Struthio camelus: one gene and its partners. The protein of the gene in region 1 purifies or fractionates together with the protein of each later gene. This does not show direct contact. Links are inferred from orthologs where the notes say so. Each region holds a gene or a part of one and is shown in the gene's direction. Other genes may lie near its edges.

Region 1 (7,382 bases):
CTGTAGAATAGCTTAATAAATTCTGTGGGTCGTGACTGCAAGAGAAAGGGGAGCTTATACGGCAGTAGCATACTATCTCGTGTCTTATCGTAGCTGCTACTTTTTCTAGAGAAATCAAGGCTCTTTAAATACAGAAATTGTTTCTATTTGTGAACTTTCTTAGACTCCATACTGTGCTTTAGAAAAAGTACTACTTTCACTTAAGATTGCACTGTGTTTGAGTTTTCCTTGTCCTGGTCTATTATTTAGTGTTGCTGTTGAGTTTCTTTGCTCCTCTTTATGGATTGTGAGTAAACAGTTCTCTGTATATCAAATGTTACTGAGAGTCTGGGAAATAGCAGTGCAGTTCTGCTGCCAAATATATTTTAATGAACTGAGGAAGGATTATGGGAACGTTAAGAGAACCTGGATTTTTCTTGTGGCAGAGCAAGACTATATCAGTTCTCTTTTCCTTTTGTTCTAGCCAAATCTAAGGCGAGCATGAAGCCATCGGATGGGAAAGCCACCTCCCCTACAAAGCAGGCCCTGAAACGTAGGGCAGCTGAGAGTCATCCCTCTGCTGTGGCAGCTGTGAAACCATTGAGCAGCACTGGTGGTGGTGACATGAAGGAGCCTCCAGCTAAAAAAGCAACTGTGGTAAGGACGCTAGCTGAGACAGTTGCTGGTCCCTAGTAAAATTTATGCTTCAGTTTTACCCTCCTCTTGGACAAAAGTTGGAAAAATGGAAAACGGGTGTTCTGTATGTCTTTTGTTCCCTCTTAGGTCCAGTAACGATCTGCAGGGTGGTTGTTGTACCTCTTTATTTTTTATTAGAGGCATGACAGTGTTTTCATAATACTCTAGTATGATTTCTATGTGGTGTTTTCCATTAATGCTGCGCTCTTAAAAAATACGAGGTCGTTGGAAAGCTTGAAGTTAATATCAACTTTTCTCAGGAAAGCCCTGGCTCTGGATTTTGGTTAAGGCTCAGCAATGCCAGAGGAGAAGCAGTGTGGAAGAAGCATCTGCTAAGAAATCATTTACTTGTGTGTCATAAACACTGTCTTGTTTCTTCCCAGGCTGTTGTTCCAGCCCTGCCAGAGGATAACTTGGTCACTATACCTGAAAGAGAAAAACCCAAAGACAGGTGACAACCAAAACTTGTTCTTTTTCTGGGTCACTGTGGCTTTCACTTGAAACATACGTTCTTTCACATGTGGAAAAATTAGAGTTTTGAGATGATTAATGCCAAAATCAAATGAAGAACTCTGCTAGGACAAATCATATGAATGCGTTTTCCAGCAGCGGGAAGGAGTTGTTATTTAGACGCTTCCCTTTAAAGTGCTGCCAGTTGATAGTGTCTTCTTGGGTTATCTGAAAACTTGAATGAAGATGAGATGAAGTTGGAGATGGGTCGGGATGGAGGAAGACCTCTTTCTTTGCAATGGCATTCTCTAGAACCAAACATACATCTGGGCAAAGACTGTTGGAAGAGGAGAGAGAGATGGTATATGAGGATCAACTTCCTGTATTTGGGAGCAAAGTCTGCAGAGCATGTCATGGGAAAAATAACTAAAATAGTAAACAGGTATTTGCAGAGGTTGACTCCTTGACCTCTTAACAGTCAAATTAGTAAATGTGGCACAGTGTCTCTGGCTACAAAAATTGAACCGTCTTTGCCAGATCTCCAGCTGTTCTGTTTTCACAGACGAATCCTCAAACTGAAAATGTATCTGCTAATATTAGTGTATGAGAACCTAAAGTAGCCCCAGCTTGATTGAATAATGATCCCTGTGTAAAGTGTAGGAGGGATTAGCTGCAGTTTTAAGAGCTAGTTGGCAGAAAATGCATCTCTAGTTAAGGAATATCACATACTGATTGTTCTCTTTCTTGTTCTCCCAAGTGCTGAACTGCATATTGTAAGCCAGGCAGATTCTGTGGCACAGTCAGAGGTCTCAAGCTCAACTTCTTCACAAGCAGTGGTAAAGACGCGCCGGTTAAGCTCCACAGGGGCTGGGAAAGCACCTTTATCTGTAGAAGATGACTTTGAGAAGCTTATTTGGGAAATCTCAGGAGGCAAACTAGAAGCAGAAATTGATCTGGACCCAGGGAAAGATGAGGATGACCTCCTTCTTGAACTTTCTGAGATGATTGACAGCTGAACTGCATATTCTTCTGTTTCAAAAAAAAAAAATTAAAACTGTATATTTTGTTGGATACCCTGAGATGATCCTTTTTCTAGCTGAGGCTTTGCAATGAGTCTTAAAGCACAGTTGAACTGGTAGAAATTGGCAATATCTGCACTCAGTTGTCCTAGATTTCCCTGCTGGTCAGAGTTCAAGTCCTGCGCATCCGTTCTGTTACTATTGGTGGCTACCTTCAATATTAAGAGGACAAAGCACTTCTTTATTTCAGACCAGAAAGATGCCCATCTGCAAGCTGTGGTGGTTGTGAATTGATCTACTGAGTCAGTGATGCTCTGAAGGCTTAAACTTAAAGCTTCTTTCCCTGCCTCCCCTGCCCTTGGCAAAACACAACGTTGGGTGTATTTCAAGGTTTTTGCATTCTGATTTCTTGGACAGTTGATGCTAAAGCTTGGAGTTACTATGTCAACTCTTGATTTCTATTTATGTATGCTATCATTTTGACTTTACTCTTTTAGGGCAAATTAATGAAAACGAAGGGGTGGGAGGGAGCAGAATGATTACTTCTTGCATTTTGGACCAAACATGCTGCCAAGGGTGGTGGTTGGAGTCAGTCCATCCAGCCTTACTTCTCCTCGATTATCAGGGATAACACAATGTCAGTGTGAAAAGCAGCAGCTATACAGTACAGCTAGAATACCCTCCCCCCCCCTTTCATTGTACTGTATCAAAGCTTGGGGGTTTTGGTGCTTTTTGCTGAAGTGAATAGGATTCTGGGTTGAGAAGTCAGGATTCCTCTTATAGTCTGCAGTAAATTGGTAAATGAAGAATTGGTTTAAGTGCCTCTTGGTTCCAGGAATCACTCCCCTGAGTTGCTGGCTCTTCTGCTGGGAAGTGACAGCTGCTAGGGCTAACATTAAAACACTGACTGTCAGCTTTATTTGAACTCCTGTTGGCCATGTGGCATCTGTCTGATCGGGTGGTCATTTGTGGCATTGAACCAACAGGAGGCCGGTGCCCAGACAAGCAATCTTGGTACTTGGTACTGCTGCAGGACTGACTGTGCTCTCCTTTTTAGGCATGTCCTGGGGCTCCCTTCCTTTCATCTCCCCTATACCCCCAACGCACCTTTGAGGCTTGAGCTCCATGTAGAAGTACGCATTGGAGTCGGGACGGGAGGTTACTGGCCATCTGAATGCGCAGTCTGAAATTGCGACCCTGCAGAAAATAGCTGAGACTGGGGTCTATTGTGTACCCTGCCACCAGTGATCATTTTCCCTAGCAGATATATTTTTTAATTATTTTCTTAAATTTCTGGAGAACTTTAGTCTCTTCCTGTTATGATTTGTGAAGCTGTAGGGGCCCTCAGGCGTTTGCTGCTGGCAGAGGAAAATCAGCTGTTTAGCTTATTGTAAATATTTTTCTCTTTGGAAGAAAACACTTGTGTGCTTTGATAATCCACTGTGATGTCTTAGTTCCTAGAGGAAAAGTTTGAACCAAAATTAGCAAAGCCCTTTCTGAAGAAACTGCTGTTCTAGTTCCAGAAGGGTCACCAAGTTGGAAACTTCCTACAAAGTGGGCAGGACAGCGCTGCCCTTTATCCTGCTGAAGGACTTTTTCATGATGCGACTTCTGCCAGCTCTGGCTGCTTGTGCACAGACAGAAGTGACTTTGAGGAGGAGAGAAGCACACGTGAGAGACCGTGGTGTGGAAGACTTCCCCCTTGCTTTTTCTCTCCTTGCTGTTGTTTAAGCAGAATATTCTCTTCTGTTGTCAGCCTTTGCCGCCTCTGAGCCGAGAGGCTCTGTCCCTGGAGACGGGATTTTGTGTATGCCATTGTTTCTGTAAATATTTTATTCTTTCATTTTATATTTGTATTCTATTTAAGGTATTGTATTAAATGTAGTCCAGCTCCTCCACGTTCACCATTAGTTGAACTGTTCTACGTGATGGCAGTTACAGGTGTTTTTAAATAAACCTGGCGTAGGAAAGCTGGTGACACGTGGTCTGTCTGCAGCAGCCGGAGGTGTTTGGGGGGGGGGGGGTCTGCCTGCACCCAGAGAGGTGAGAGGGGCCGAGCAGCAGGGGCTGAAGGGTGCTGGAGCCAACCCCTGCCCTGGGCTGGGGTGGGGGGACAGTCCCCTGCACCTCCCTGCTTTGCTAAGCCCCCCAGGGCTGGAGGGGGCCAGTTCCCCAGGCCCCCAAAGGTGGAGGCTAGGACCCTCCTCCCTCATTCCCTGAGGCCCCCTGGTCCTGGGCAGAGAGCTGGGCTGCCCCCCTGAGCTTCCCCCCTCGCCCCAGCCCTCTGGTTACCCTTTTGGCCCCGCACGGAGCAAGTCGAGCGGCGGTCCTCCCGCCGGTCCTAGAGCGGCCGGGCAGCGCGCCAAGTCCTCCCGCAGTCCCAGAGCGCCGCGCGCTCTCCCGGCGTGCCCAGCGGCTTCCGGCGGCGGCGGCGGCTGTGGCGGTGGCGGGAGCGCGTGCCTGGCGGCGGGCCCGGGCGGCGGCGGCGGCGGCGGAGGAGCAGCGGCCATGGCGTACCGCGGGCAGGGCCAGAAGGTGCAGAAGGTGATGGTGCAGCCCATCGTATCCTTCCGCCGGCGGAGAGAGCAGGGCCGCGGCGGCCTCCGCTCCCGGCCGTGGGGGGGTGACGGGGGGGGGGGCGGCGGGGAGGAGCGGGCCGGGCGGCGGGGACGGCGTGTCGTTGCCGGGCTCCGTGCCCCGTGCCGTGGTGCTGCCCTTAACGCTGCGCTCCAGAACCTCATCTTCCGCTACCTGCAAAACGTGAGTACCGGGGCCGGGGGGCGGGACGGGGTTTGGGGGGGTGGGGGGGGGCGAGAGGAGTCCCGGCCCTGGCGAGGGCCTGGAGCTGCTGCCGGGTACAGCAGCGGGTTTGGCTGGTGGAATTCCCCCTCCCCCTCCACACACACGTTTTTTAAAGCCGTTTTCTGGTAGCTGAAGAGCTCGCTATCTTTCGGGTACAGAACAGCAGGTTCCAAGTTGAGGATTTCCTTTACACGTTCACAGGTTACCTCCCTAGTGGGAGTTTGATCATCACGTCACACGAGCAGGGCCGTTCTTCTGTGTCTGTTTTAAAATACAGGCTCGTACATGTGCTTCCACGACTTTTCCAAATCGCTGAGAAAAACATCTTAAAAGATGTCTGAGGACGTGATTGAGACCATATTTGAGAGTTTGTCCTTTGAATGGATGTAGCCATAGAGCTGCGGTGGCTGGTGGTAGTAAGGATCCAGCTGAGCTCTCAGTTTACAGGAGAGAGGAACAAAATTGCTTGGGGTGTTTATGTTCGTATTTTGCTCTCTTCCCCCATCGTTTTGCAGAGGTCCAGGATCCAGGTCTGGCTCTATGAGCAAGTGAACATGCGGATAGAAGGATGCATCATTGTGAGTATCAGGAGGTACCCTTATTATTTCTTTTGTTAGTTTCTCCAGAGTCACAGATTCTATTTCTTCTCGTCAAGGGAAACTAGCACAGATTGAAAGAGCACTCCTTATGCCTCCAGTGAATGGTCTTAATTGTCTAGCCTGTGTCAGCATATTTATTGATAGTTCGTATCACTGTTGCTGAAGTTAAGAGTAGGAGACTGAGCTCGCTAACTGCTTTTGTTGTTGTTTTTTAGGGCTTTGATGAATATATGAACTTGGTTCTGGACGACGCAGAGGAGATTCACTCAAAAACGAAATCAAGGAAACAGCTCGGTATGTCTGTATAACCTAAGCGATGCATGATCTGAAACGTGGTTATTTGAGCCTTCCAAATGGCAGCGCTTTAAAATACACAACATGTGAAGAGTTTTGAGTTTGAAGTATAGTGGAAGGATACTGGCTAGATCTGTGTGCCTGCTCTTTGTTGATTTGGTGGTTTTGTTGGATATACAGGAGAATCTGTCAGTGCCTGAGACCTATTTTCAGCTTTTAAATGTGTGTAACAATGTAAGGTCTGTGCTGCATCTCTCTCTTTTTTCCTGCAGCCAGGGCTGGAGGAGTTCAGGCAAAACTCCTTTCAGCTTCATCTAAAACAGATATCTCTAAGAAATTTTTACACGTGCTGTGCCACCTCTGAGTCAAAGCAAGGAACCACCTAAGTGGTGGTATGTAGTATTTGCCATCTGCTGATGAAGATAAGCAACGGTCTGTGACAAGCGATGTGTTCAGGCTCTTACCGGGGGCATAGTGCTGCTGGGGCGCAGAGCACTAGAATGGAGATTGTGTCTGATACGCTGTAGTGTGAACTGTGCACGTGGGCCATGTGCTGCCAGGCTTGTAGTCCTGTGGTGTGGCCAGCAAGGAAGAGACTGTCTGTGACCGTAGTCTGAAAAAAAAACTCGTCAGTTATCATGTGGGCATCTTCTTGCAAACATCTTTCCCTTTGTGAAATGTTATTTGAAAATATGAGGTTATTCTCAGACCCTGGGATCTTTCTAATTCCCCCTTTCCTTTCTCTGTGTTGCAGGTCGGATCATGTTAAAAGGGGACAATATCACTCTTCTACAAAGTGTTTCTAACTAGAATTTGCTGTTCTTCCCTTAGAACAATAGTTACTGTGCTTCAGAGCGGATAAAGTGCTAGGTCATGGGAACATGAGCTGCTGGTAGATAGGAAGCTACGTGTAGCTGGGGTTGCATGCTGAGGTTAAAATGGTTTGTAGCTTTGTGGGAGTATTTTTTTTTAACTTCGATACCATAAAAGATGTATTTCACAAATAAACATTTTTCATGTTAACTGTAAACATAAATCTGCTTGTTTTCAGTCTCATGTCCTTCTATGAGTGGAGGAAGGGGAGAAATGTGTTTGGGGTTCTTTTCACCATGGGTCTATGCAGTTTCTGATAAGAGAAACAACTCTGTGTTCTGGAACATCAAATCTGCGTTATGTTGACAAGATAGACTTGTTCGGAAAGGATGCTGGAGCCACGTGCAGTCCTTGAGCTTGCGTGGTTCTAGTGAAGTTGTTATAGATTTTCCCCAAGAATACAAGAATATGCAGTTACAGCCCTCAGTGCCCGCTATGACAGCTTCCTGAGACATTTTCTAAACAAAACAACCAACACCTAATTTCTTGAGGAAAAAACACCTAATTTCCTGAGATTTTGTACAGGAGTGCTCCTTGTGCATCAGTCTTTACAAGTTTGTTAGCGGGTTGGCAAGGGAGTTGGGGCTGTAGTATAATAATCTGACATTTGCAAACTTTACTGTTCTTCATGCTTTCAAAGTAACTTTTATCTTCAGATGGAGTTAGTTTG
Region 2 (7,826 bases), on another chromosome or scaffold:
TTTTAATTTAAATTTCTGCTTAGATTGTATTGTTTTATGACCAATAATTTTCTCCTTGCGTTTTCAACTGTGGAATTGGGAGTTATCGAATGCTATTAGTTAATACTAGTTTTTAATCTTCCCAGATTTAGTCCAAATTTTGTTTAAAGTTGCTGTGAAAGTGAGGACTAGCACCTTACTTAGCTGTAGCCTAATTGGAAGCATCTGCCCAGGAAAGCCAGGTAGTTTTTCTGTGTCTTTAGGAAGCTTTTGTTTTCCTCCCAGCCAGTACTGTTCTGCAGTTACTGATGTTAGCTCTGTTGACAGCCATGGTGTATGTGATGTCTGAACAAAATTGTTTCAAATTACAAAATGAGACAGTCCCTGGCTTTTAAGGGCTCTGTATTCCATTGCTAATGTTGGTTTGAGTGAAGACTTGAAATAAGCAATATATTTGTCTGTGAAACTTCCTGCTTATCAGCAAAATTTGCTGTATCCCTTTGTATGTTTATGTCAGTTAGTTGTACTGAAGTTTGTCTGGAGTTTTTTTTGCTTGATGATTTTGTCAGGTCTATGTTGCAAAGCAGGATTAAATGATGCTCAATCCATAGTTGAAGGGAAGCATTTGCATTTTATAAGGAATATTAGATAAACTGTAGAAAATCAGAGTAAATGAGTAGTAGTTCTTTTATAGTTAAGGACGTAGTTGAAATCTGAACTTCATAGCAGTCATTCTAAGGTGATGTGTCAAAACACAGAACAATAGAATTAGCCTTAGACTTACAGTAGCTTATCTGCTAGATCTTTTGATCTCTAGTTTCTGCTGTTTTTAAAATCAGCTATTCAGTTTTAGAATTTAAAGAGGTGGTTTCTTTCCACAACCTGCTTTTCCTGCAGTTGTTATACACAGATGAGCTCAATCAGCTTACTTTCCTTCATTCTCCTCTCACCAGGCCTAGGAAGATTCTTGAATGCTTAATTTAGATTGGATCATATTCAGATATCCAGCAAATATTCTTAAATTGCTAAAACTTTGAACTGCTTTTCAAACTTGTTTGCCTGCCTGTCCGACCTCTTTGCGTCTTCAGGCTCCTACACGGCCTTACCTTATGGACAGAAAAGCAGCTTTGAGAAGGGCTTTTAGAGAGATTTTTGAGTTCAGAGGCTAAAACTACCAAATGGAGTCGTACTTGATGAGAAAGGAGCAGTTGGTTTTCAATTCTAAATCATATTTCTATGTTAGAAAAGTAGCAGTTTCTTTTGCCAAGTAGTGTGATGAGGTTAATCCTGCTCAGCAAGTGGAGATGCCTGGCTTGTGTTCACGCACCTGAGCTTCCCTTGTCTGGGACTCTTGCCACTCATGCTGGGGCAGCTGCATAGCCACGCTTTACAGTCTGTTGTGCCAGCGTGAAGTAGGCATAGTGCCCGTGGGGACTTGTATCTGCTGTGAACCGGACTCTCACTCAGCTCCATTGGATCCATCATAGCCTGAATCTCTAGCTAGGATGTGTTGTGAATCCTGGAGAGAATCAGTCCCAACCTGCCACTCTTACCCATGGATTTGGAATGCGCTTGGCTGTGGGTGAAACTAGCACAACATATGCAGTCTTTAAAGCAGAATTGGATTATAACAGAAGAACTAACTTAATATTGTTTTTTCTTTTAGTGTGAAAAGAAGGTGAAAACGACAGTACTAACTGCAGCTCTTTTACTATCTGGAATCCCAGCGGAAGTGATTAGTCGCTCCATGGACACCTACAGCAAAATGGGAGACGTTTTCACAGACCTTTGTGTCTATTTCTTTACTTTTATCTTCTGCCATGAACTTTCTGTGTTTTTTGGTTCTGAAGTACCCTGATGGCTGTAGAACTCAATGCAGTAGTTACACGAAAGCTTTCTGTTCTGTATTCCTTTAACATCTGACTGTCCAAGCAGGTTTAAACCTTAATTAAAATTCTTACTGGTTTGAATGCTTGAAAGGAGCCTTGAATCCAGTCATTTTGGGAATGGAAGAACAGGGTCCCAGGCTGCCAGTTGTGTTAGTGCAGTTTATTTATATTCTGTGTCTGCCTCTTACAAATACGAAGAATAGGATGCAAGTGTCAGTAGATATATTTTGTTTTGTTAGATGATGCCCTTCTCACCCTCCTTCATAAACACTTACAAAGCTACCTTTGTTTTTTGTGGAGAGAACAAAAAGAAGGGATCAATTTTCAACAGAACCGTGTATGTGTGTATATATATATATATATATATATATATATATATTTATCCAGTACGGCTGTAGCTAGCAAGCTCTGCTCAGTTTGTGTTACTTCCATTTTCTTAACAAAAGCTCTAAATAAAAGAAATCCCTATATTCTGTTGTTCCAATTCAGAATGCTGAGGCAAGCAGCTGCTTCTGGAGAATGTTGGTGAAACATGCCACTCCATTCTCCTAATCCTTGCCTTGCTATAAATTTGTTGTGATTGTGATGAATTTCATTTGATGATTCTAGTGCAAAACAGCTAAGCAAAAACAAATATTATATATATATATTTCCTTTTGGTCTACAAGTGTCATCAATCAAAAGTAGAAAGAAACGAAATTCATCTCAACTGTTTGTGAGTTTCCGGCAGCCTGTTAATCCTAGCATAGCTCATACCAGTGTTTTCGTTCAACCTCGCCACCCCCCCCCCCTTTTTTTTTCTTGTAGCAATAGTTTACCTCATGCAGGGAAAGATGTATATATTGGCAAGCAACCCGCAGTATAAAACATTTGCTCCGTATATGTAAAAATTACAAGGGAACTGTTGTTTTTCTAGCTCCTTGCAGGTTTGCATAAGACGATTTTGAATGTGACATTAATTTCTGTATTTTTTTCTCTGTTTATTACCAGACATTTGCATGTAAACAGGATCTCAGTTGCCTAGGAGTTCTGCTCCTGCTGCTTAATAGTACTACTAGCCAACGGCATATACTCTTTCATTCAGCAGAGCTATTTATATGTTAACTGATTTGCTGTCTTCTGTCCTGTGTTTTTGAAATTCCCCAATTCCCACAGAAAAATCAATGTCTGATGGGAGAATAGCATCTTAAATTTTCCTGTGGGAGTGCAGCCCCATAGGTGAAAAAGAAAACAAATACAAATGAATCCTACAACTGGGAAAAGTAGCAAGCTAGTGAGTGTTGTCTTGTTTCAGTCCTATAAGATTTTAATACAGTGAGAGGAAGGTGGCTTCATTCCAAATAGCCAGCCTTTCATGCTGACAGTCTGTAAAAATGTATGTTGAATCTCAACTTGATGTTATCATCAGCTTGTAGTTTTCCTATTAGAATTGGGACTTTCAGGTAATCCAGGCTAATATTTGTCTTTTTTTTAAGTGTAGAGAGACACCTAGTTACGGTGATAGCTGCATACATTTTAGGGAGCAAAACTCATTGTGTGTGTTTAAAATAAATGGCTCTGCTTTCTGCTTAATCGTTTCTGTTAAAGCTGCCTGCTGTAATCTTAGCACTGCATTTCTGACTCCAAAGTCAGATATGTGTTTGTGGCATGAAAAGAAGAAGCTTTCGTTATGGATTTGACGCTTTCAGTTTTTACTTGTTATTTTATACTGAATATCTTGTTGCAGATGTCCAGGTCTGGGCTGTAAAAGATTCTGACTTAGGTCTATTAGCACAGATATTAAAAGGTTCTGGCTAAATATTAGACAAAAGTTTCAGCAGGTTCAAATAGCTGACATTTAAGTTAAGGTTGAAATACGTAAGTAATGAGTTTGCTCAAAAATTATTCTTTCGCTTATATGCCCAAATGTAAAGACAAATAAATTTCGAAAATACCAGGTACTAGCGTCTGCAAAAAGCACGGAATTTCTAGTCCTGAGCACAAATATTTTAATCCTGATCAGCTAGTTAATAAGAAAGCAGGTGACCCACCTGCCTTATTGTATTTTCACACAGCCGCTTTTAGAATCCTTTTGCATAAAAAATGATTAAGCAGGTTATTCTCTCAAGTGGTGAAAGAAATGTTGCTACGAGACCTAATCTGGGAACTTTTCAGTCTGAAAACACCTGGTTTTATGTGACAAACTGTTCAAGATGGGATTGGAATATGGTCTTCCTGTCTCTTAAGTGAATATACATAGAGCCAGCAGGGACTTCACTAAATTACTCTTTGCCTTTGATCAAGAAATGAGTCTCCTTTTCCCCGTTTTGGCTTACCTTTGTTTATGTACATAATTCTATTTAATGTTTATTGCTAAACTGGTTGTTTTCTATTAAAAATATATTTGTTACCCCCCCCCCTTCTTCATTTCGTCTGTCGGCCTACCATCCTTTGTTGTAAAAGTCACGGTTTATTAAACGCGTGCCGAGTTGGTAGTTCCGCCAGGAACGCTTTGACCCTCCTGAGAGCAGCGGGAGCCCGCGCCCGAGCCTCGCCGCTGCGCCGGCCGTGGGCCTCTCCCCTGTAATTCGCGTTTGTCGCTTATGTTTAGTGTCAGCTGTCAACGGCCTCTTAAGAGGGGCAGTCACAGCAGGGCTGGCCGACGGCTGAGCGGGCTGTAGCCTCGAGGGTATGAGAAGAAAGGGCGTCGAAGCCCGCGGGTGGCAGGCGGCGTTGGCTCCGGCCCTCCCGTGAATCGATTCTGCCCCCGGAAACTTTGGCTTTTGGCCGGCGGTGAGAGCGTGCAGGTGAGGGCTGTGATCAGCGGGGCAGCCAGGCCCCTGCGGTGAGCCGCCGCCACCGCGTGTCCCGAGGACCTTTTGCCCCGGTTGGGTTAAAACAGGGGAAAATCGGGGGCCGCCGCCGCTTTCCCAGCGGGCTCCGGAAGCGGCGTTTGCCGCGCGGGGCGGCGGCGCGGCCTCCGGCCGCCAGGGGGCGCCGCGCCGCGGCGGCGGCCAGGAAGGTGTGTGTGTCGGGGGGGGAAGGCCGCTTCCCGCCGCGGCGCTTCTCGTCGTCCGGGGCGCTGGGGGCGCGGAATGGCCGCCGCCGTCTAGCGTTGGGCTCGCGCCGCCGCCGCCGCCGCCATGGGCCGGGAGTCCAGGTGAGGCAGCGCGGGGCGTCGCGGCCCGGCCAGACCCGGGGCGGCGGCCGGGAGGCGCGCGGGGAACAAAGGGCCGCGGCTGGGCTGGGCTGGGCTGGGCTGGGCCGGGCGCGCCGCGCCGCTGAGGCGGGACAGGCCGGACCGGGCCGGACGGGACCGGTCGGGACCGGACCGGACCGGACCGGACGGCGCTGCGCTGCGCTGCGCTGCCGTCGCCACGCCGCCCGCCCGCCCGGGCTGGTGGCGGCGGCCCGCGGCGCGGTCTGCGGCCGGCGGCGAGGAGCGACACCCGCCTTTTGGGTCGCGGTAACCGAGCGGCACCAAACGCCCCTTTGGCCTGCGCGCGTTCGCTTCCAAACAGTAAGAGCCACGTCCCTCACCTGGCAGGCGTTATTCCCCGTTAGCTCTTTTTGTTTTTTTTCCTTTCTCCTCCATATTCCGTTTTAAGTTCACGCCGGGTCACGTATCTTTTGTCCTCTCTCAGCTCGGATAAGCGTCGCGGTAGGTGTTTGAACCGGCTCAGCAGTAACGCGCTCGCGGACTCGGTGCTTCGGAGCAGACCGGAGCGGTTCAGAGCTGGTGCTAAGCCTGCCAGGTTTTAAATCCTCGTAGTAGTTTGCAAGTGCTCTTATAACATATATCAGTTTGTGACTACTAGTTTAGTTTACTCCTGGTTAATTAGCTTAATTAGCTTAGTTATAGGGGTTTTATCGCTGAAACTGCAACGCAATAAAAATGCATACTTTGTGTCCCTACCTGCTGGCGTCCCTACACTGCGAAGACATCCTAGGTTCATAACTTAGATCCCGCCTGACAGAGGCAAACGAGTTGAAATTTTGAGTACCGTCATGGGTTCAAACTGGCGATTCACTGCAGAGCTGTGTACTTAAAGAAGAGCTGCGGACTCAAAACCTTGTCCTTTTTGGCCTGTTGTGTCAGCTCGTCTAATAAAAGCCCTATGGAACTTGCCTCCGGGGTCACAGCCCCTCGTCGCTGAGAAAAGGGTGCACGCGTGTTTCAGGCAGCGACCGAACACGGCTCCCGTAGATACAGCTGAGTGAGTTTCAGACTAGTTAGCTGAGCGGTTGTTAGCTGCTGGCTGCGATGCTCGCACGGGACGCGGTATCTGCTGGGGACCCAGCTCCAAACTGCTGGCGCTCGAGCCGGCGGGGCTCCCTCGCTTGGCACAGTTCAGCTCCTCTTCTGATAGTGCTGCCAGTTTTTGTCGGGCTCTGAGGTCATGCTGAGCAGAAACGTATTTATCACACGAGGCCGCAGGCCTCTGAGGAATAATTCTTTTACAAGCAGGTCCTGCAGGCCCCGCTTCTCCCAGGCCCTGATGCGTACACACGTTTTTCTGTTTGTGGGTTTGGATAATGAGCTGGACCAAACAACTGGCTAAGAATAATCTAAAAAAGTGGAGTTTAATTTGTGTTATTTCTCTAGTTTATTGCCTGAAAACAGAATCTTCTAAGTAGAACTGAAGAGATGGTAAGAGAGTGAGAATGAGTGGTGGGTGGAGAAGGGTGGGGTGGGCTGCATGTGCTGGAATTGCTGTTGAAGGAAATGGTCAGCAAGGTAGAGCTTTTGAGACTTGAAATAAGATACCAGCCTCACTGCACACTCTAGAAACAAACATACCAAATACCGGGGGGGGGGGGGTGTGGGGAGGGGGCGGGATGTGGAGCAGCATTTTAGTGACAGAGATGAGGAAGAAATCGGAGATACCTGATGCTGACAGATGTCCTGCACGTTCAGTTGTACTGCTGATAGGCAACGCATTGATATTGTTGTGATTCCAAACGTGTATGATACTTGAATATACCAACATACGGAAATGAACTGTGTTACTTTTAGTGCCGATACGGTTGTAGTATAACCCTATGTGGTAATGAGGAAAAGGGAGGAAAGAAGTCAAGGGCTTGAGGTCTTGCTTTCTTTGCTTCTTCCTGCTTCCGACGCATTGCTACCAGGCTGGTGGGGTGAAAGGGTCTGTGGTCTCGGACTACCAGAGCATGAGGGAGGGAGGAAGAGGAGATGGTCCCCGTAGAGGTCCCTCTGTAACTTGTACGCTGAGGTGAAGAGTTTTGAGAACAGCTCCTAGCCCAAACCCCTCTCCCAGTTTGACTGGGATAAGAGAGCATTAGTGGAGGGCGAAAAAGAGATGCCCATCTCCACCACAACCCTTGAAAGCCTTGCTAACTTCTTGAGGCTTGCGTTGAGGTGTCTGATGGCGTTATGGAGTTTCTTTTGGTGTCAGCATCATAAAGGAATTGACCACTGCTGCATCACGTATGTTCCTTTAGTTGCAGTTTGACCACTTTTCCCTTGAACAGAGGTATAACTTACTTGGCTTACTTGGGTGAAAAGCGACAAAAATTAGTTTTACCTGTTTGACAAATTTGATGACGCACCTTCAAACAGTTGTAGGCTTTTCATGCATGTAACAACAATCAGTGGATTTCTAAAGGGGCAGTTATTTTTCTTGATGTTCCAGTGTTCTCATAGTGCTGTTACATCAGAGCTCAAAAACCAACGAAAAATATGACCAAGTAATCCATCCAATTTTGACACCATTAGGAATATGTTTGCATTAATCGTTTTTGCAAGAATGTTAAAAATGTTTAGAAAGTGAATAAATCAAAGAAATTAAGTGATTTTTTTTTTGCTCTCCAAGTAAATATGACAAATCTTTTAACTGCTAGTTTTTCTCATATTCGCATTCATCTTTTTTATGAATTTACAATACAGGCATTATCGGAAGCGCTCTGCATCACGTGGACGCTCTGGTAGCCGTTCTAGAAGTCGTTCTCCGTCTG
Region 3 (7,947 bases), on another chromosome or scaffold:
TGCTGCCGTGGCTAGGCAATAATCTCCATCCCTCGATGGCAAGCCTGGAAAAACAGGCCAGCGAGCCCACGTTGCATGAGCGGCCTGGTGGCAGAGGCGGTGGGCAGGTGCTCGGCTGGGCTCCCCAGAAATGAAAACACTACGGATCTTCAATAGCTGCTTTTGAAGATTTTTTTTTTGTTTTTCTTATAGAAAGTGAAATGCCCAGGAGGAGCGAGAGGAAGGGGGCTGCTTCCAGGCGCGTTAACAGCTAAACGAGTCGGGGGGGTCAGGTCAGGTTGACTGTGTGGTCAGCCGGGATTTCCCTCCCCGGTGGCTAACGCGCCCCCCGGGCAGAGGGCCGACCGGCAGGGGTAAACCCAGCCGGCAGTCGGCTTTCGTAGCGGCACGGCTCTCAGGAGGGACCGGGCGCTGCAGCGGCAGTGACAGCTGTCAGTGCTTTCCCTCTGGGTCTCTCAAGCCCTTACGGGTGGTTTTACAGGCCAGGATGCTTACGGGGATTGTTTGCTTCCCGCGGGACGAGAGACCCTCCTAAAGGGCAGAGACTTTGCTTGCAGACAGCAGTGGCGCATCCCTGCCAGTTTGCCTCTTACCCACCGCGGGGGGCTTGGAGACGTGGTGGGTCTCGGTGCACAGCAGAGCCCACCACCGCCACGGGACAGACGTCCTCTTGTGTAGCTGTGCCCAGCTGGAAGGGACCCCCGAGGGCAAAGAGGGCATGAGCAGAGCCAGAATCTGGCTCAAGACCTCTTAAATTTGCCTGGAGAGTTGTTCCGTTGGGCAGTTTTGGGTTGGGCTTTTTTTTTTAGGTGCCTTCTTCCCCGAGCTAGCAAAACATGTGCCCAGCTCTCCTGCCTGAGCCACTTGTCTCTCCCCCTTCGCGAGGGCAGGGAACATGTCTTGGAGGCTCCTTGCCTCTCCCGCCACATAAGAGCTGCCGTTGCAGCAGGGTGGGTGTGCGGGCCACAGTGAGGAGGAGGGCTGGCAGGTCTCATTCCTGCAGCAGATGCCACCTTCACCCCAATACGCAGCTATTGCGGCTGGCTGCGGTATGAGCCCTTGCTCGGCACAGCTACCTGGCTTGGAGATGCCCAGAGGAGCCTGCGCAGCTATCGGGACGCTACTGAGCACTGCAGGAAGAGGCCAGATGCTCTTGGTCGGTGTGTTTAACATGGACCTGCTTCCTTCATGCACACATGGCAAACGGGGGGAGCACCGGATGCGGCACAGACATCATCACCCTTGGTCTTCTCCAAGGTCCCAACAGGCCAGATGGTTGTGGATGGGAGCGCTGCCTTAGAGACCTTTGTGTGTTGGCTGCTTTTTCATCTTCTGCGCCGCAGGATAGGAAAAGGAGGGGGAAGCAACGATCTGCAAGCAAAAATGTTAATTTGTAAATAGGGGAGAGTCTGGAAGAGTTTACTGTGCTGTAGAATAAATTAATTTTATTTTAAAAAGTGACTTGCTAAACAAATGGAGAACTTGAGTTCCAGTTTTAAAATAAAACCACTTGCAAAAAGGACAGCACGTTAACAAGAGCTTGGGCCTTTCCTGGATTGGCTATGTGACAAAAGAGAAGAGAGCATGGGTCGCATGTGTGTAGACCCCTTCATCTCGAGGCAGCCGCAGCAGGGCTCAGACCACCTTTCCCCAGCGGAGCTGGTCCAGCGCACCGGGGGCAGAGCAGAGGGGTAGTTTTGTCCCTGCGAAGTGGAGGCTGGTGGGGGAACGCGTGCAGGCTGCACGGGGCAGGGTCGCACGCTGCGTGTGCCTGCGCACCCGCCTCTCGCAAGGGGAAGCAGCGCTGTCCCCAGACCCCAGCTGCCCTGCCGGGAAGACCAGCCCGGCAGCCTGCGTTGCGGCACCTGTGATCACAGGAGCTGTCGTTTCTCTTCTTCCCTCCGACTAGCAGACTCCCGCTGGGCTGGCCACGGTGGTCCCACTGCCAGCTCCCTTCCTGGCAGTGCCCCGCGCGCTCGTCCCGCAGCATGGCAGTGGGTGGATGCATCTCCTCTCCGCCTGGTCTGTTATTTTCTTTGGTTTGTCACTAGTGAAGTTGACCCAGAAGCAGACACCAACGTAGATAATACTGAATTAGCAGCCGTGCGGAGCGAAGATGCTCCTCCCTTGCCGAAGGCCCGTGCTAGCACCCTGCCCTCCCAGAATCCGCGTTCACCTTAGTGCCTTTCCCCCTCCCCTGCCACGGTCTCTCCTGGCAAGCGGTGCCGCACGCATTGCCGTGGGTACCGCTTTCCGGCGTGCTGTCTGCTGCTGAGGCTCCCCTGGGAAAGCTGGTACGTTGTCCCAGACTGCGCTGTCACAGCTGAGCGGCGTGACAGACACGGCTCCCAGACACAGCTAACACGTGGCTTTTGGGGGGCGGCGGGAGCGACTCCGCTCTGCGATCAGGCCGTGGTTGCATCACGAGCCATTCATGAAAAAATTCCCTCCCTAAAAGTCTCCAGAGCGCGTTAACCCCTTCTGGCTAGCTCACGCGTCGGGAGCTGGGCAGCCGGCGAGGTAACAGCCGTCGGCGAGAGCAGATGAGCTCCTCCTTCGTGCCCACCAGGCGGGTGGTGAAGGCTGTGCCTGAAGGTGGGATTGCCGGAAAAAACATGCTTTACTTTGCTTTCACAGCGCTCCGGACAGGGCAGGGCAGGGACAGGACATGACAGTCCTATGCATCAAACCCAGAGATCCAGTAGCGAGACAAGGAAAAAACAGGCGTAGCAAGCGAGGGGGCTGAGCTGCGGGGCTGCTGGGGCTGAGCCGCGCGCTCACTGATGTTATGGAGCCGGCGAAGGATGCGAAGGGCGTTCAGCGTTGCAACCGCCGGCGTTTCACCTGGGCGTTAGAGCTGTCCGTGTCTGCTCCTGCCGGACTGGCACACAGGACCTGTCTGAGCAAAAGCTTAACGTGCTTCCAGAAGAATCCTGTTTCTTAAGAAAACACCTCATAACACCTCTGCTTTGAAACACAAAGACGCTTCTTTGATACAGATCAGGGAGCTGAATTTTGTTGTTTGGTTTGCGCTGAACTGCGAACACACTTTCCTGCTCTAACGCAAAACCCCTGGTAGTTCTTTTCCGTTCAGATCCCAGCCCAGCGCTCTGATTTCATGGGCGTTTGCATTTTTTAATGGCATGGTGAAATACTTCCTATTTTGATATGCCCCAAATAATGATCCTGTTCCCCCCAGATACATCTTAAAAGTAACACGTGCATAATACATCAAGGGTCAGCAGTAATTCCCCAGACGTGTGGTTTGAGAGCTGGCTGCTCCCAGGTCTGTTTGCCCGCGCTGTTTGTGTGGGCTGTGCTGGATGACAGGCAACTGCCTGTTGTTTCCTAGGGCTGCGTGTTGTCACCGGCACAAACCATGCTCTGGGCTAGCGAATCGAGCCGGCCAGCTGCTTCCCACGGCCCCTCGGGTCGTAACTGTGTCTGCAGGCTCTGCGTGCTGCCGCTCTGCCTTCTCCAGCGGGGCTGGCATGACAGGGCTGAGACCTGACAGCTCATCACTCACCCCACATGTCGGAGCCCTGCTTTTGGAGGCTGTGGTTTGCAGAGGCGGCCGCGGCAGCAAGGAGAAACGGGTGTCACCTCACGGGCTATTGAGCTAGAGTGGCCTGTGGTGGGCTTAAGACTCAGCAGAGCAGAGGGAAGCGGAGACTCAGGCAGTTTGCAGCAAGTCTGAGCGAGAGGCGACGGGGGCGCGTGCCTGCCTGGCCTCTGCAAACGGCGCCGGTGTCTCCTGGCAGGCAGGAGAGTGGGACCCGGGGCTGGGGGAGCCGCGGGGGCAGGAGCTGGCGGGCTGGGAGGCAGCACGGCGGCAGCCCTTTGCACGGCTCCAGCCAGGGCTGTGACTGCAAGGATGCCTTCCCTTCCCTTCCCTTCCCAGGCCAGCGCGGCCAGCTGGGACCACCGCCAACCCTAAATTCACACCATTCTTTTACAAATCAGGTTGGTAAGACAAACGCGAGGAACAAACCACTGCTATTTCCATAGCAACCTCAGAAGAGGTTGAAAAGTCCTTTGTAAACACAGACCCAAGGCTGAGCTCAGATTGTCTTCACGGAAGGGGGAAGAGCCCGGGGGGGCCTTAATAAATTCAGGTCGTGAGAGCCATCCATAAATCTGCCAAGGGGCCTCTGCGCTCACCCTCTGCGCCCGCCTCTCTGCCGCCCTCTCCGCACGCACAGCACGAAGCCGTCCGAAACCCGGCGCCCAGCTTCGCCGCCCCAGCCCGTCTCACTAAACCGCCCACAGGCTCGTGCCCCTCTGCCACTGCGGCTGACCCTTCAGCCCGCGCCAGGCCGTTTCGGTAGGGCCGCCGCGGCTCCACAAGAAATTTGGCTGCGGAGGGGGAGCTGGTATCTCCGCCAGCTCCGGCTCCTCTTCCCCGCTCCCGGCCGCCGCCGGCACCGTTTCGGCGAAGCCCGGCGGCCTCTCCCGCCGCCGCCCTCCACGGCCCTCGGCGGACAGAAGCCGGCGGGGCCGCCATGGCAGCGCTGTTTAATTCCGGAAGCGGGACGAGCGGATGGCGCGAGGAAGGGCCCCCATCGCGCTCGCTGTCACGGGGCCGGCACGTGGCCGGGGCGAGGGGGCCGGTGTGAAACGCTCAGGACTCGCCGCGCCGGGGCGGCCCGCAGCCCGGCCGGGACGGGGCACCGCTCGGAGGTGGCGACGGCACCGACGGGGCCGGGCAACGCGCTGGGGGCAGCTGAGAGAATGAACACGCCGCGGTAAAGCCGCTCCGGTGAGCTGCTCCGCAGCGCCAGAGCTGGCCGGGGCCAGGGAGCCTCCGTGCAGCGAAGGGCTGCAGCCGCCGCCGCCGCCATCATCGTGGTACCCCCCCCCCCTCCTCCCCCTCCTCCCGCCGCCGCCGCCATGGCGCCCCCACAACGCCAGGGCGGCGCCGCCCCGTCGCGCGCCGTTGACGCCATCAGTCCGCGGCCGCGCGGCGGGCGGAGGCCGGAGCATGGCGGCGCCCTCGGCCCCGCGCCCGCCGCGGCCCCGCAAGGAGCCGCAGCCGCTCGTCATCCCGCGCAGCGCCGCCGAGGAGCAGCGCCTCCGCCTCGAGCGGCTCATGAGGAACCCGGTGAGGGCGCCCGGCCCCGGCGGGGGTGACCGTCAGGGGCGAGGGGGAGACCCCCGCTCCCCGGGGGCGCCGTGAGGGGAGAGGGCGAGAGACCCCCCCCCTGCGGGGCGCCGTGAGGGGAGAGGGCGAGAGACCCCCACCCCGCGGGGCGCCGTGAGGGGAGAGGGCGAGAGACCCCCCCCCTCTGCGGGGCGCCGTGAGGGGAGAGGGCGAGAGGACCCCCCCCCGCGGGGCGCCGTGAGGGGCGAGAGGACCCCCCCCCGCGGGGCGCCGTGAGGGGAGAGGGCGAGAGGACCCCCCCCCGCGGGGCGCCGTGAGGGGAGAGGGCGAGAGGACCCCCCCCCGCGGGGCGCCGTGAGGGGCGAGAGGACCCCCCCCCGCGGGGCGCCGTGAGGGGAGAGGGCGAGAGACCCCCCCCCTGCGGGGCGCCGTGAGGGGAGAGGGCGAGACCCCCCCCTCTGCGGGGCGCCGTGAGGGGAGAGGGCGAGAGACCCCCCCCCCTCTGCGGGGCGCCGTGAGGGGAGAGGGCGAGAGACCCCCCCCCCTCTGCGGGGCGCCGTGAGGGGAGAGGGCGAGAGACCCCCCCCCCTCTGCGGGGCGCCGTGAGGGGAGAGGGCGAGAGACCCCCCCCCCTGCGGGGCGCCGTGAGGGGAGAGGGCGAGAGACCCCCCCCCTGTGGGGTGCCGTGAGGGGAGAGGGCGAGAGACCCCCCCCTCTCCAGGGCGCCGTGAGGGGAGAGGGCGAGAGGACCCCCCCCGCGGGGTGCCGTGAGGGGAGAGGGCGAGAGGACCCCCCCCCCGCGGGGCGCCGTGAGGGGCGAGGGAGACCCCAGTCCCCGGGGGTGCCGTGAGGGGAGAGGGCGAGAGGACCCCCCGAGCGGTGGCGGCAGCGCTGGTCCCCACGTGCAGCCGGACCAAGGGCTCCTTGCCCCGTGCTGCGGAGGGGAGAGACCCCTCTCTGGGGCCGGGGGCGGAGGGGCCCCCTGCGCCCTCAGGGCTCCCTCTGCTCGCTCTCCTGCCCTATGCTTTTAATGGGAGTCGGGGGCAGGTGAGAAACGGGGACGGTGACACATGGGGCTGGACCCCGATTCCTCCGCCTGGAGGCTCTGACCCTTGTCCGGAGGGGAGCTGCGTGCCGGATGGGGCTCAGCCTCCCATCCGTGTGCGGAGCCTTCCTCCCGCCCTGCGTTCTTCCTCTGACCTTGCGCCAAGCGTTCCCTGCCTTCCCTGCCCTCCCTCATCTTAGCTGAGATGAAAGGTGCACAAATGCCTTTCCTCTTTTTCCCGACTGCTTTTAGTGGGAACAGAGCCACTTTCCACAAGTACACGGGGGTACTAACTTACCTCCTCCAATTGCCGTACTGAAAAGAAGTGCGGACCCTTGTAATCTTCCTAGGGTTTGTTGACCTGCAGGGCTGAAATGGAGGGAATGGGGGGGGGGGGGAGGATTCCTTGTGGCTGTTGTTTCCTGCGTGCTCCTGATCCCTGCGCGTGAAGAACTTACTACAACTCTGCTCCTTCTGAGATCTGTCAGCTGGGGGAAGAGTCTGTTGTCACACGTACACTACCTTTCAACAATATGTTAAAGTTGCAGGCTTTGCTCTGAGAAGATACTAATGACTGCTTGGTTTGTTCTTGCAGGAAAAGACTGTACCAATTCCTGAAAAACTGAATGAGTGGGCCCCACGACCTCCCCCGGAGTTTGTTAGAGATGTGATGGGTAAAGATACTGTTAAAGATAACTGTATGACCAACTGCAGTAAGCTTAGAAAAGTAACAGAAGAGGTAGAGGCTGTTCTCTATTGTTGCTCATTTTTCTGGAGAAAAGGGGTGTGAAATGTGCTTTTAGAGTTGATTTTTAAAGTTTTCTTTGTTCTTGGGGTTCGATTCTGCTTGTTGTCGGAATGCAGAGCGAACAGTGCCTAAGGCACTCTGCCGTGTGCAGTGTGCGCCTGACTGTGTGCAAGGAAATAAGCTGGTTTTATTGATGACAAGGCATAAGTAAATCTGTCCTTTCCATAGTTCAGTGAGTACTCTGAAGACTTAAAATTATGAAATTCCTCCTTTGATTGCTTTGTGTCTGAATCTGAGTCACTGAGAAACAAACTCGTACATGTTTGTCTATGGTCACGCAGGGAACCCAACCTAAGTGTTCTGGTGACACTTAACGTTTTATCTATGGGGTCAAGGTTGTTTGGACTGAGTTTACAATTTGTGGTATAAATTGTATCTGCATGTGCAAGTTCCCTCTTTATTTGGGACTTTTATCCTTATTAACAATTCGTTTTAGAGGCAGAATAAAATGTTCTGCTTATTTTAGTTCCCTTGTGGCATTTCCAAATAGCTTTGCCATATGCTGGAGTGGGACCGGCTTGTTTATCTGGGAACACTTGATGCGCTCGGACTCTATTGGTAGTCAAGAGCACCCCTGTTGCAGTCCTAGTTTCTGTGCTTTAAGAACTAGGTGTCTTTTTTTAAGCGTATATTTGCACACGTCTGTGCTTTGCATTGAAAAATGGCTCGGGAGACAGGGAGGAGATGGAGTATAGTGTTATGTGAAAAGTTCCTGTGAGACTAACATGCAGATTAAGGCCAAGAAGAGACAGCTGTAGGGATTTTTTTTTTTTCCAATGGACAAAAACTGTCAGTGGTGTTCGTCTTGCATGGGAAAATGTAATATGACAGGTTTTCTCACCTTTCTGTTGACCTTCATTTTTATGAGATGCTGAAAATAGGTGAGAAACAGCCTCAGTTGGATGTTTTAGTTGGCCTCTATCTAGAAGAAAATGGGACATGAGCTTGATTTCTGTGGTTCTTTTACTGTCTGGATGTTCTGCAAAGTCTGAA
Region 4 (7,809 bases), on another chromosome or scaffold:
TGGGGCAGGGCTGGGCACGGGAACGGGGGGTCGAAGGGTCCCCGTATGGGGGGGAGCAGGGGGTCAGAGGTCACAGGGTCTTTAAACAGGGGGAACCAAGGGGTCAGAGGTCTCTGTCTGGGGGGGGCCAGAGGTCACAGGGTCCCTCTCGGGGGGGGGGAACAGGTCAGAGGTCACAGGGTCCCTGTCTAGGGGGAACCAAGCGGTCAGAGGTCTCTGCTTCGGGGGGGTCGGGGGTCTCTAACGGGGGGGGGCATCAAGGACCAAGGTCAAAGGATCACGGCACGGGGGGTCAGAGGTCAGAGGGGACCAGGGGGTCAAAGGACTCTGCTTAAAGGGGTCAGAGGTCAAAGGGCTTCATCATGGCGGGGGGGGGGGCGAACCATGGGGGTCACATGAGCTCAGTGCGGCCGGGGGGGGGGGGCGGTGTCAGCGCTTGGGGCCAAAGGGTCTCTGTCCGGGGAGGGGTCAGGGGCAGGGGTCAGAGGTCAGGGGTCAGACTCACCCTCTCGCCGCCGGGGGGGCTGCAGGGGGCGGCGGGGGGGGTCCGGGGCCTCCCCGGGGGGGGTCGCAGCGGCGCCGCCCCCCCCGCGGCCCCCCGCAGCAGCGGCCACACGGCAGCCACCTGCGGGAGGGGTCAGAGGTCACGGCCCGCCCGCCCGCGGGGGGGGGGTCAGAGGGCAACAACGGCCGCCGCGCCCGCTCACCCCGCTCCGCGCCATCGCGCCGCTTCCGGGGTCAGCGGCCCCGCCCCCGCCGCCGGCCAATCAGAGCCTGACCTGCCTGCCGGCGGGCGGCCAATGGGAGAGGAGGGAAAGGGGAGGCTCCGCCCCCTGCCGGGAGGGCGGAGCGGCGGGGGGGGGGGCTGCAGGAGCGCGCATGCGCTGCAGGCTGCGGGGTGACTCTCTCCCCCTCTCCGGCCCCATTGCACCCTGCACCCCATTGCACCCGGCCTCATTGCACGCTGGACCCCACTGCACCCGGGACCCCATTGCACCCGGCCCCACTCCACCCGGGACCCCATTGCACGCCAGCCCCATTGCGCCGGGGGCCCCATTGCACCCTGCACCCCATTGCACCCGGCCTCATTGCACGCTGCACCCCACTGCACCCGGGACCCCATTGCACCCGGCCCCACTCCACCCGGGACCCCATTGCACCCTGAACCCCATTGCACCCGGGACCCCATTGCACTGGGGGCCCCCCTGCACCTCAGCCCCATTGCACCTGGCCCCACTGCATCGGGGGACCCATTGCACCCGGGACCCCACTGCACCTGGGACCCCACTGCATGCCAGCCCCATTGCACCCTGCACCCCATTGCACTAGGGGCCCTATTGCAGCTCAGCCCCATTGCGCCCGGCCCCACTGCATAGGGGGTCCCATTGCACCCTGCATCCCATTGCATCCAGCTCCACTGCACTGGGGGACCCATTGCACCCCAGCCCCATTGTGCCTGGCCCCACTGCACCAGGAGCCCCATTGCAGCCTGCACCCCATTGCACCCTAGGCCCCATTACACCACAGGCTCCATTGCACCCAGGACCCCATTGGAGCTGGGCCCCACTGCACCGGGGGCCCCATTGCACGAGTGGACCCATTGCACCCTGCACCCCATTGCACCTCAGCCCCATTGCACCCTGCACCCCACTGCACCCAGGACCCCATTGGAGCTGGGCCCCAGTGCACCAGGGGACCCATTGCACCCTGCACCTCACTGCACCCATCCCCATGGCAGCCAGGGCCCCATCGCTCCCTTCATGCACCTCCCAGGGGTGCTCTGTCCCTGCTTGCCAAGCCCCGCCCCTCCCCAAGCCCCGCCCCCCCATGCAGCCCCAAGATCAGCAGCGGCCGCGACCCCTCTGGGACCCCCAGGTAGCCCCGTTCCCAGCCGGTGGGTGGGAAAGGACCCAGGCGTCCGGGCCCCACCCCCAGGCAACCCCACCCCTGCCTCAGCCTCCCCCTTAGCCAGCGACAGGGCCGCAGAGGGGACCCAGGTGTCCGGGCCTGCCTTGGCCGTGCCTCAGTTTCCCTAGGCTGGCTCCCAACGCTGCGCGCGGAGCAACGGCGTCGGGGCGGCGCGGGGGTCCGCTGCGGTGCAGCGGGAACCGACACGAGCACGGCTCAAACGTTCGCCTTTAATCGCGTGTGCGGCCAGGGCGAAGCAGCGTGCGCGAGCCTGGCGCGGGCTCGGCCCTTCTCCGCGCCCGTTAACGGCGCTTCCCGGAGGCGAGCGGGACAGCGAAGCCTTCCCCGGACGCAGCGGCTGGATCGGCAGCGGGAAGTGTCCTGGCTTCCCCCCTCCGCAGCAGAACCGGGGCGTCTTCTCCCTCCAGGACCGTCCCCTGCCCGCGCCGGGGGGGGACGCGGCGGCGCAGAGCAGGGCGGGCTCGCCGGCAGCGAGCCGGGACGAGGCCCCGCGTCGCCCCCACGTCGCGGCGGTGGCTACACGCCGGGGGCCGGGGGGTGCAGCAGGACGGCCTTGCCGCAGAGCCCAGCCCGCACGCCGCCCGCCGGCACCACGTAGACCTTGCCGTCGCCCGCCCGGCGCGGGCTGAAGTCCGTCAGCTGCGCGTTGCTCTCGTGCAGCCGCCCGTAGCCCCAGAGCTGCACGCGGCGGCTCTTGCCCTGCTTGGCCAGCAGGAAGACCTCGGCCAGCTCGTCGTCCGGCGGCAGCCGGGGGGGCCCCGGGCCGGGGTGGAAGAGGCCGGGGATCTCGGCGTCCTCGCGGCAGCCGGGGCTCAGCGCCGGGCTCCTCGCACCCAGCAGCGCGCCTGCAGCGGAGCCGCCGTCAGCTCTGCCGCGGGGCGACCCCAACGTCCCCGCAGCGGGGCCAGGGGCTCCCTGGCGGCGTCCCCCCCGCCCCGCTCTGCCGCCGGCGCGGACGTACCTGAGACCACGGCCCAGTGGGCCTTGTGGCCCTGGCGGCAGCAGGGCTCGTGGTTGCTGTCCTCGTCGTAGCTGGGGCGGGCGTTAAGGGGCACAACGGGGGCAGCGCGGCGCGGAGGGGGCCGGGGCCGCGCGGCTCTGCCCGGCGGCGGGAGGATACGGCACGAGCAGGGGCCGGCCGGCGGCGAGGTGCCGCAGGATCCGGGGCCGGTTGTCCCCCTCCAGGCCCCCCGAAAGCAGCTCCGCGCGGCACGGGAACAGCTCCTGGGCCAGCGTGGCCATGTCAGCCGCTGCGGGGGCACAGAGCGGGCAGGGAAATCCCGGTGGTCCCCGCCGCCGCCCCGGCACGGCGCCGACGGGGCTCGGAGCGGCCCCCCCGCCGGCCCCCCTCACCTGAGAACATCTCGCCCTGGGCGGTGAAGGCCCGGTCCCGCGCCGCCTGCACGATCTGCTCCAGCGAGACGCCCTGCGACGGCTCCAGCAGGGCCCCGGCCATCCACAGGGCCACCAGCCCGCACCTGGAGGGGGCCGAGCGGGGCCGTGGGTGGCCGGGACCCCCCGGCCCCCAGCCCCGGCCTCCCCCCACCCCACCTCGACACTTACTGGGGGCCCTCCTGGATGAGGGACGGCACCGGGCGGTGGACGAGGAGCCACTGCAGGTCGCTGCTGAAGCTGGGGGGAGGCAGAGGCTCAGCAGGACCCTGGTGACCTGCGGGGGGGGGGGGGGAACATGGCCCACGCGGGGTCCAGGACCCCCCCCCCCGGCCACCACAGGGGGATATCGCCACGGTCCGCCCCGGGACCCCCCGTCCCCCAGGTCAGGCCGGGACCCCCCGTCCCCCAGGTCAGGCCGAGCTCCCCGGGTCCCTCCTTTCCCCTGGTTCATGCCGGACCCCACGGACCCCCCATCCCCTGGGACCCCCCATTTCCCTGGGTCATCCCGGGACCTTCCAGGACCCCCAATTCCTCAGGACCCCCCCATTCCCCCGGATCCATCCCAGGCCCCGGGACCCCCGGGACCCCCCGGGTCAGGCCGAGCTCCCCGGGTCCCTCCTTTCTCCTGGTTCATGCCGGACCCCAGGGTTCCCCGTCCCCCAGGACCCCCCTCAATCACCCGGCTCATCCCGGGCCCCTCCGGGACCCCCAATTCCCCGGGACCCCCCATTTCCCCGGGTCATCCCGGGTCCCCCCATTCACCGGCACCCTCCTGTCCCCCGGGACCCCCCATTCCCCCGGATCCGTCCCAGGCCCCGGGACCCCCCGCACCCCAGGCCCCTCCGGGACTCCCAATTCCCCAGGACCCCCCCCATTCCCCCAGGTCCATCCCAGGCCCCGGGACCCCCGGGACCCCCCGGGTCAGGCCGAGCTGCCCGGGACCCTCAATCCCCCGGGACCCCCCCCGGTTCATCCCGGCCCCCGGGACCCCCCGGTTCAGCCCGGGACCCCCCCGGGCCCCGGCGCCCACCTCTCCCGGCGCCGCCGCAGCAGCTCCCGGAGGTCGCCGCCGTCGCGGTCCGCCGACTCCGCTCGCTCCAGCGCCTCCCGCAGGAAGCGGCCCGGGGGGGGCGGCGGCGGCGGCGGCGGCGGCGGGGGGGGGGGCGGCGGCGGGGGGGGCGGGGCGCACCGGGCGGGGGCGGGGCCTGGCGGCAGCACCGCCCCGGCCCCGACCAGGGCCATCCCCTAGGCCAAGGTCAAAGGGCGCCCGGGCCGGAGGTGAGAGGTCATGGCGGGGAGAGGGGTCAGAGGTCAGGCCGCCGTGCGGCAGCAGCACGTGCCCCCGCGCCGCTGCCCTCGCGCGTGCTTCCGGCCTCTGCTCCGCCCCTTCCGGGCCCCGTGACGGAGCCGGCCAATCGGACCAGACCTCGCCGACCGCGCTCGACCAATCGCGCAGGTGGTGGGCGTGGCCGCCCGCCGCTCCGCTGGGGAGGGGGCTCCTCAATCCCGAGGGAGGGAGGGGCGGGCGGCTCCCAGGCTACGCGTTCTGATTGGCCGCCCCGAGACGGGTCACGCGGTTCTCATTGGCCGCCGAGCTAGCGCCTGCCGCGTTCTGATTGGCGGCCCTCGCTATTGGCGGGCGAGAGCGAGGCGGGCGCGCTGCTATTGGCGGGCGGCGAGCAGGGCCTGGCGGCGGCGGCGGCGCGCTCGGGGCCCTCGGTGAGTGGCGGCGGCGGCGGGTGCCGCCGGGGCGCGGGGCGGAGCGGGAGGGCCCGGGCGGGGTGGCGGAGGCGGCAGCAGCCCCCGCCGCCACCGGGAGGGGAGCCGAGAGGCTGGACGGGCCTCACGGGTGTCTCCACATCCGGGTCCTCCCCCCCCCCGACCTTTGGGGGGGGGAAGGACCCGGATGTTCCCCCCCTCTACTGGGAGGGGGAAGGACCCGGATGTAGTGACCCCTGGGGGGGTATTGACCCCTTCCTCTCCGGGGGGGGGGGGTCAGGGATCCTTCCCCCCGCCCCGAGCCCGGCTCTGGGGCCCGGTTCCTCCCTGAGCCCTTGATCTGGGGGGGGGGTCTGGGGTCTTCCCCCCCCCCCCCAGGGGGTTGAACCCTACCATGGGGGTGTCTCCTCCCTGAGCCCCTGATCGGGGGGGGGGTCTGGGGTCTTCCCCCCCCGAGGGGGTTGAACCCTCCCATGGGGGTGTCTCCTCCCTGAGCCCCTGATCTGGGGGGGGGGTCTGGGGTCTTTTCCCCTCCTGGGGATATTTAAAGCTTTCCTGGGGTTTTTTCCTTCTCCAACCCCCTGGATTTGAGGGGTCTGGGGTTTTGCTCCACTCCAGGGGAATTTAATCCTTTCCTGGGGCTGTTTCTTCTCTCAAGCCTCTGGGTCTGGGGTCTTTCTCCCACCTTGTGGGACACGCCTAGACCCTGGACCCTTGCAGGGACCTATTAGCCCCCACGCCAGGAGGGCTCGAAGGGGGTGACCCTCTTGTTTCCCCCCCCCATCATTTGCACCCGGGTTAGGGTTCTCACTGCCTGTGGGGGCACAACTGGGACCCGCCGTCCCCCAGTGCCGTCGCAGCCCTCTCCAGCCTGGTCTCTCCTCGCAGATCCAGGTGTCACGTGTTCAGCATGGCTGTCCAGGACGCACGCCCCAACCACACAATCTACATCAACAACCTCAACGAGAAGATCAAGAAGGATGGTGAGGGGCGGCCTGAGCAGGCAGAAGGGGAACGCGGGAGGGGTGAGGGGATCCTACCTTCATCTAGGCCCTGGGGTGCTTGTGGAGGCAGCTTTTTCTTTGGTTTGTCTGAGAAAGGTCAAAGTTGTTTGGCTGCAGAGGGAAACGGCCCATCTGTCTCCAGGAGGAGGCCTGCTCTTATGAGCAACAGCTGCTCATTCTCCTTGCTGCTCAACACGTGTCAGACTCGAACTTTGTCTCCTAGAGCTGAAGAAGTCCCTTTACGCCATCTTCTCCCAGTTCGGCCAAATCCTGGACATCCTGGTGTCCCGGAGCCTGAAGATGCGGGGTCAAGCCTTCGTCATCTTCAAGGAGATCAGTAGCGCCACCAACGCGCTGCGGTCCATGCAGGGCTTCCCCTTCTACGACAAGCCCATGGTGAGCCCTGCCCACCGCGCTGCCGGGAGCCGGCCCCCTGGGTCCGCAGTGCCCCCCTGACGTGTTTTCCTCTGCCTTCCCTCCGCAGAGGATTCAGTACTCGAAGACAGACTCGGACATCATCGCCAAGATGAAGGGAACCTTCGTGGAGCGTGACCGCAAGCGGGAGAAGAGGAAGCCCAAAGGCCAAGAAGCTTCCTCAGCCAAGAAAGCGATCGCTGGGGCTGCGGCTCCGGTTGCGTCCGCAGTCCAGGGAGCCGTTCCCGTGAGTCAGCTGCCCGGAGCTGCCGCAGAGAGGGGATCGGAGCGCCGGGGCCGCGCTCGGGGCGGGTGTCGGGGGTCTGGGCGTTGAGCTCGTCTCTCTCCCGCAGGGAATGCCGCCGATGAACCAGGCGCCCCGCATGATGCACCACATGCCAGGCCAGCCGCCCTACATGCCGCCACCGGGCATGATCCCGCCGCCCGGCATGGCTCCCGGTGGGATCCCTCCCGGGGCTATGCCCCCCCAGCAGGTGATGCCCGATGCCCGGACAGATGCCCCCAACACAGCCGGGGGCTGGGCTTCTCCTAGCGCCCCAGTACGGGCACTGGGAGCCCAGGTGCATGCGGGCCGAGAGAGAGTCCAAGGGAAAACGTGCCAGCCCCAAACCTCACAGGCTGCAGGGTGGCCCTGTCGCAGGAGAGGGGCAGGGAACGGGACTCGGGGCCTTCCCTCAGCTCCTCTGGGAGCGCTGCGGGAGGCCAGGAGGTGCCCAGCTTCCCCCCAGAGCCCCTCCGGGCTGACTCCGGCTCTCTCAGCAGCTCTCGGAGAACCCGCCCAACCACATCCTCTTCCTCACCAACCTGCCCGAGGAGACCAACGAGCTGATGCTCTCGATGCTGTTCAACCAGTGAGTGCAGGCCGGGGCCGGGGAGGCTGCGGGCACGCGGGGAGGCACGGCGGGGGCGGTCGGGGCCCCTCTCACTGCCCGTGTCCCCCGCCAGGTTCCCCGGGTTCAAGGAGGTGCGCCTGGTGCCGGGCAGACACGATATCGCCTTCGTGGAGTTCGATAACGAGGTGCAGGCGGGAGCCGCCCGCGACGCGCTGCAAGGCTTCAAGATCACCCAGAACAACGCCATGAAGATCTCCTTTGCCAAGAAGTGATCTCGCAGGCACCGAGCTCCCAGGACTGCTCCCTCCCCCTAGCCCTGCCTCTCCGTCCCCAGCCAGCCCCCTCTGCGGGGCTCGCTCGCTTGTTTTTCCCTCCCCTAGAAGGTAAGTCTGTCCCCGAGGCTGGCTGAGTCTTTGCCCCCCAGCCCCTCTCCTTCCCCCGCGGCACCCCGGGGTCGAACGGAGCCGGACCTCCGCCTGCCGCATCCACCGCGC

What was found.
Region 2: the proteins of SNRPE (region 1) and DDX46 purify together in Homo sapiens (co-immunoprecipitation; 3 studies listed by BioGRID and IntAct, counting the BioPlex papers as one, with this or other methods). This does not show direct contact. The link is inferred for Struthio camelus from reciprocal best matches to the Homo sapiens genes SNRPE and DDX46.
Region 3: the proteins of SNRPE (region 1) and PRKRIP1 purify together in Homo sapiens (co-immunoprecipitation; 3 studies listed by BioGRID and IntAct, counting the BioPlex papers as one, with this or other methods). This does not show direct contact. The link is inferred for Struthio camelus from reciprocal best matches to the Homo sapiens genes SNRPE and PRKRIP1.
Region 4: the proteins of SNRPE (region 1) and SNRPA purify together in Homo sapiens (co-immunoprecipitation; 4 studies listed by BioGRID and IntAct, counting the BioPlex papers as one, with this or other methods). This does not show direct contact. The link is inferred for Struthio camelus from reciprocal best matches to the Homo sapiens genes SNRPE and SNRPA.

What each region holds. Positions count from the first base shown.
Region 1 is NC_090965.1:6,662,163-6,669,544, forward strand, and holds SNRPE (small nuclear ribonucleoprotein E), read left to right. Parts: upstream 1-4,532; 5' UTR 4,533-4,652; coding exon 4,653-4,706; intron 4,707-4,877; coding exon 4,878-4,904; intron 4,905-5,461; coding exon 5,462-5,524; intron 5,525-5,760; coding exon 5,761-5,839; intron 5,840-6,593; coding exon 6,594-6,649; 3' UTR 6,650-6,875; downstream 6,876-7,382. Other genes in the region: ZC3H11A (zinc finger CCCH domain-containing protein 11A), read left to right, coding at 464-636, 1,059-1,126, 1,883-2,141. UniProt on the Homo sapiens protein: Plays a role in pre-mRNA splicing as a core component of the spliceosomal U1, U2, U4 and U5 small nuclear ribonucleoproteins (snRNPs), the building blocks of the spliceosome.
Region 2 is NC_090954.1:4,146,797-4,154,622, forward strand, and holds the start of DDX46 (probable ATP-dependent RNA helicase DDX46), read left to right. Parts: upstream 1-4,814; 5' UTR 4,815-4,990; coding exon 4,991-5,007; intron 5,008-7,758; coding exon 7,759-7,826. Other genes in the region: guided entry of tail-anchored proteins factor CAMLG, read left to right, coding at 1,646-1,837. UniProt on the Homo sapiens protein: Component of the 17S U2 SnRNP complex of the spliceosome, a large ribonucleoprotein complex that removes introns from transcribed pre-mRNAs.
Region 3 is NC_090957.1:14,350,213-14,358,159, forward strand, and holds the start of PRKRIP1 (PRKR-interacting protein 1), read left to right. Parts: upstream 1-4,936; 5' UTR 4,937-4,981; coding exon 4,982-5,101; intron 5,102-6,741; coding exon 6,742-6,820; intron 6,821-7,947.
Region 4 is NC_090957.1:588,461-596,269, forward strand, and holds the start of SNRPA (U1 small nuclear ribonucleoprotein A), read left to right. Parts: upstream 1-4,797; 5' UTR 4,798-5,043; intron 5,044-5,931; 5' UTR 5,932-5,953; coding exon 5,954-6,026; intron 6,027-6,270; coding exon 6,271-6,443; intron 6,444-6,531; coding exon 6,532-6,708; intron 6,709-6,814; coding exon 6,815-6,955; intron 6,956-7,241; coding exon 7,242-7,333; intron 7,334-7,427; coding exon 7,428-7,587; 3' UTR 7,588-7,809. Other genes in the region: COQ8B (atypical kinase COQ8B, mitochondrial), read right to left, coding at 506-625, 708-722; ACTMAP (actin maturation protease), read right to left, coding at 2,446-2,774, 2,891-2,961, 3,050-3,179, 3,283-3,407, 3,493-3,561, 4,355-4,566. UniProt on the Homo sapiens protein: Component of the spliceosomal U1 snRNP, which is essential for recognition of the pre-mRNA 5' splice-site and the subsequent assembly of the spliceosome. U1 snRNP is the first snRNP to interact with pre-mRNA.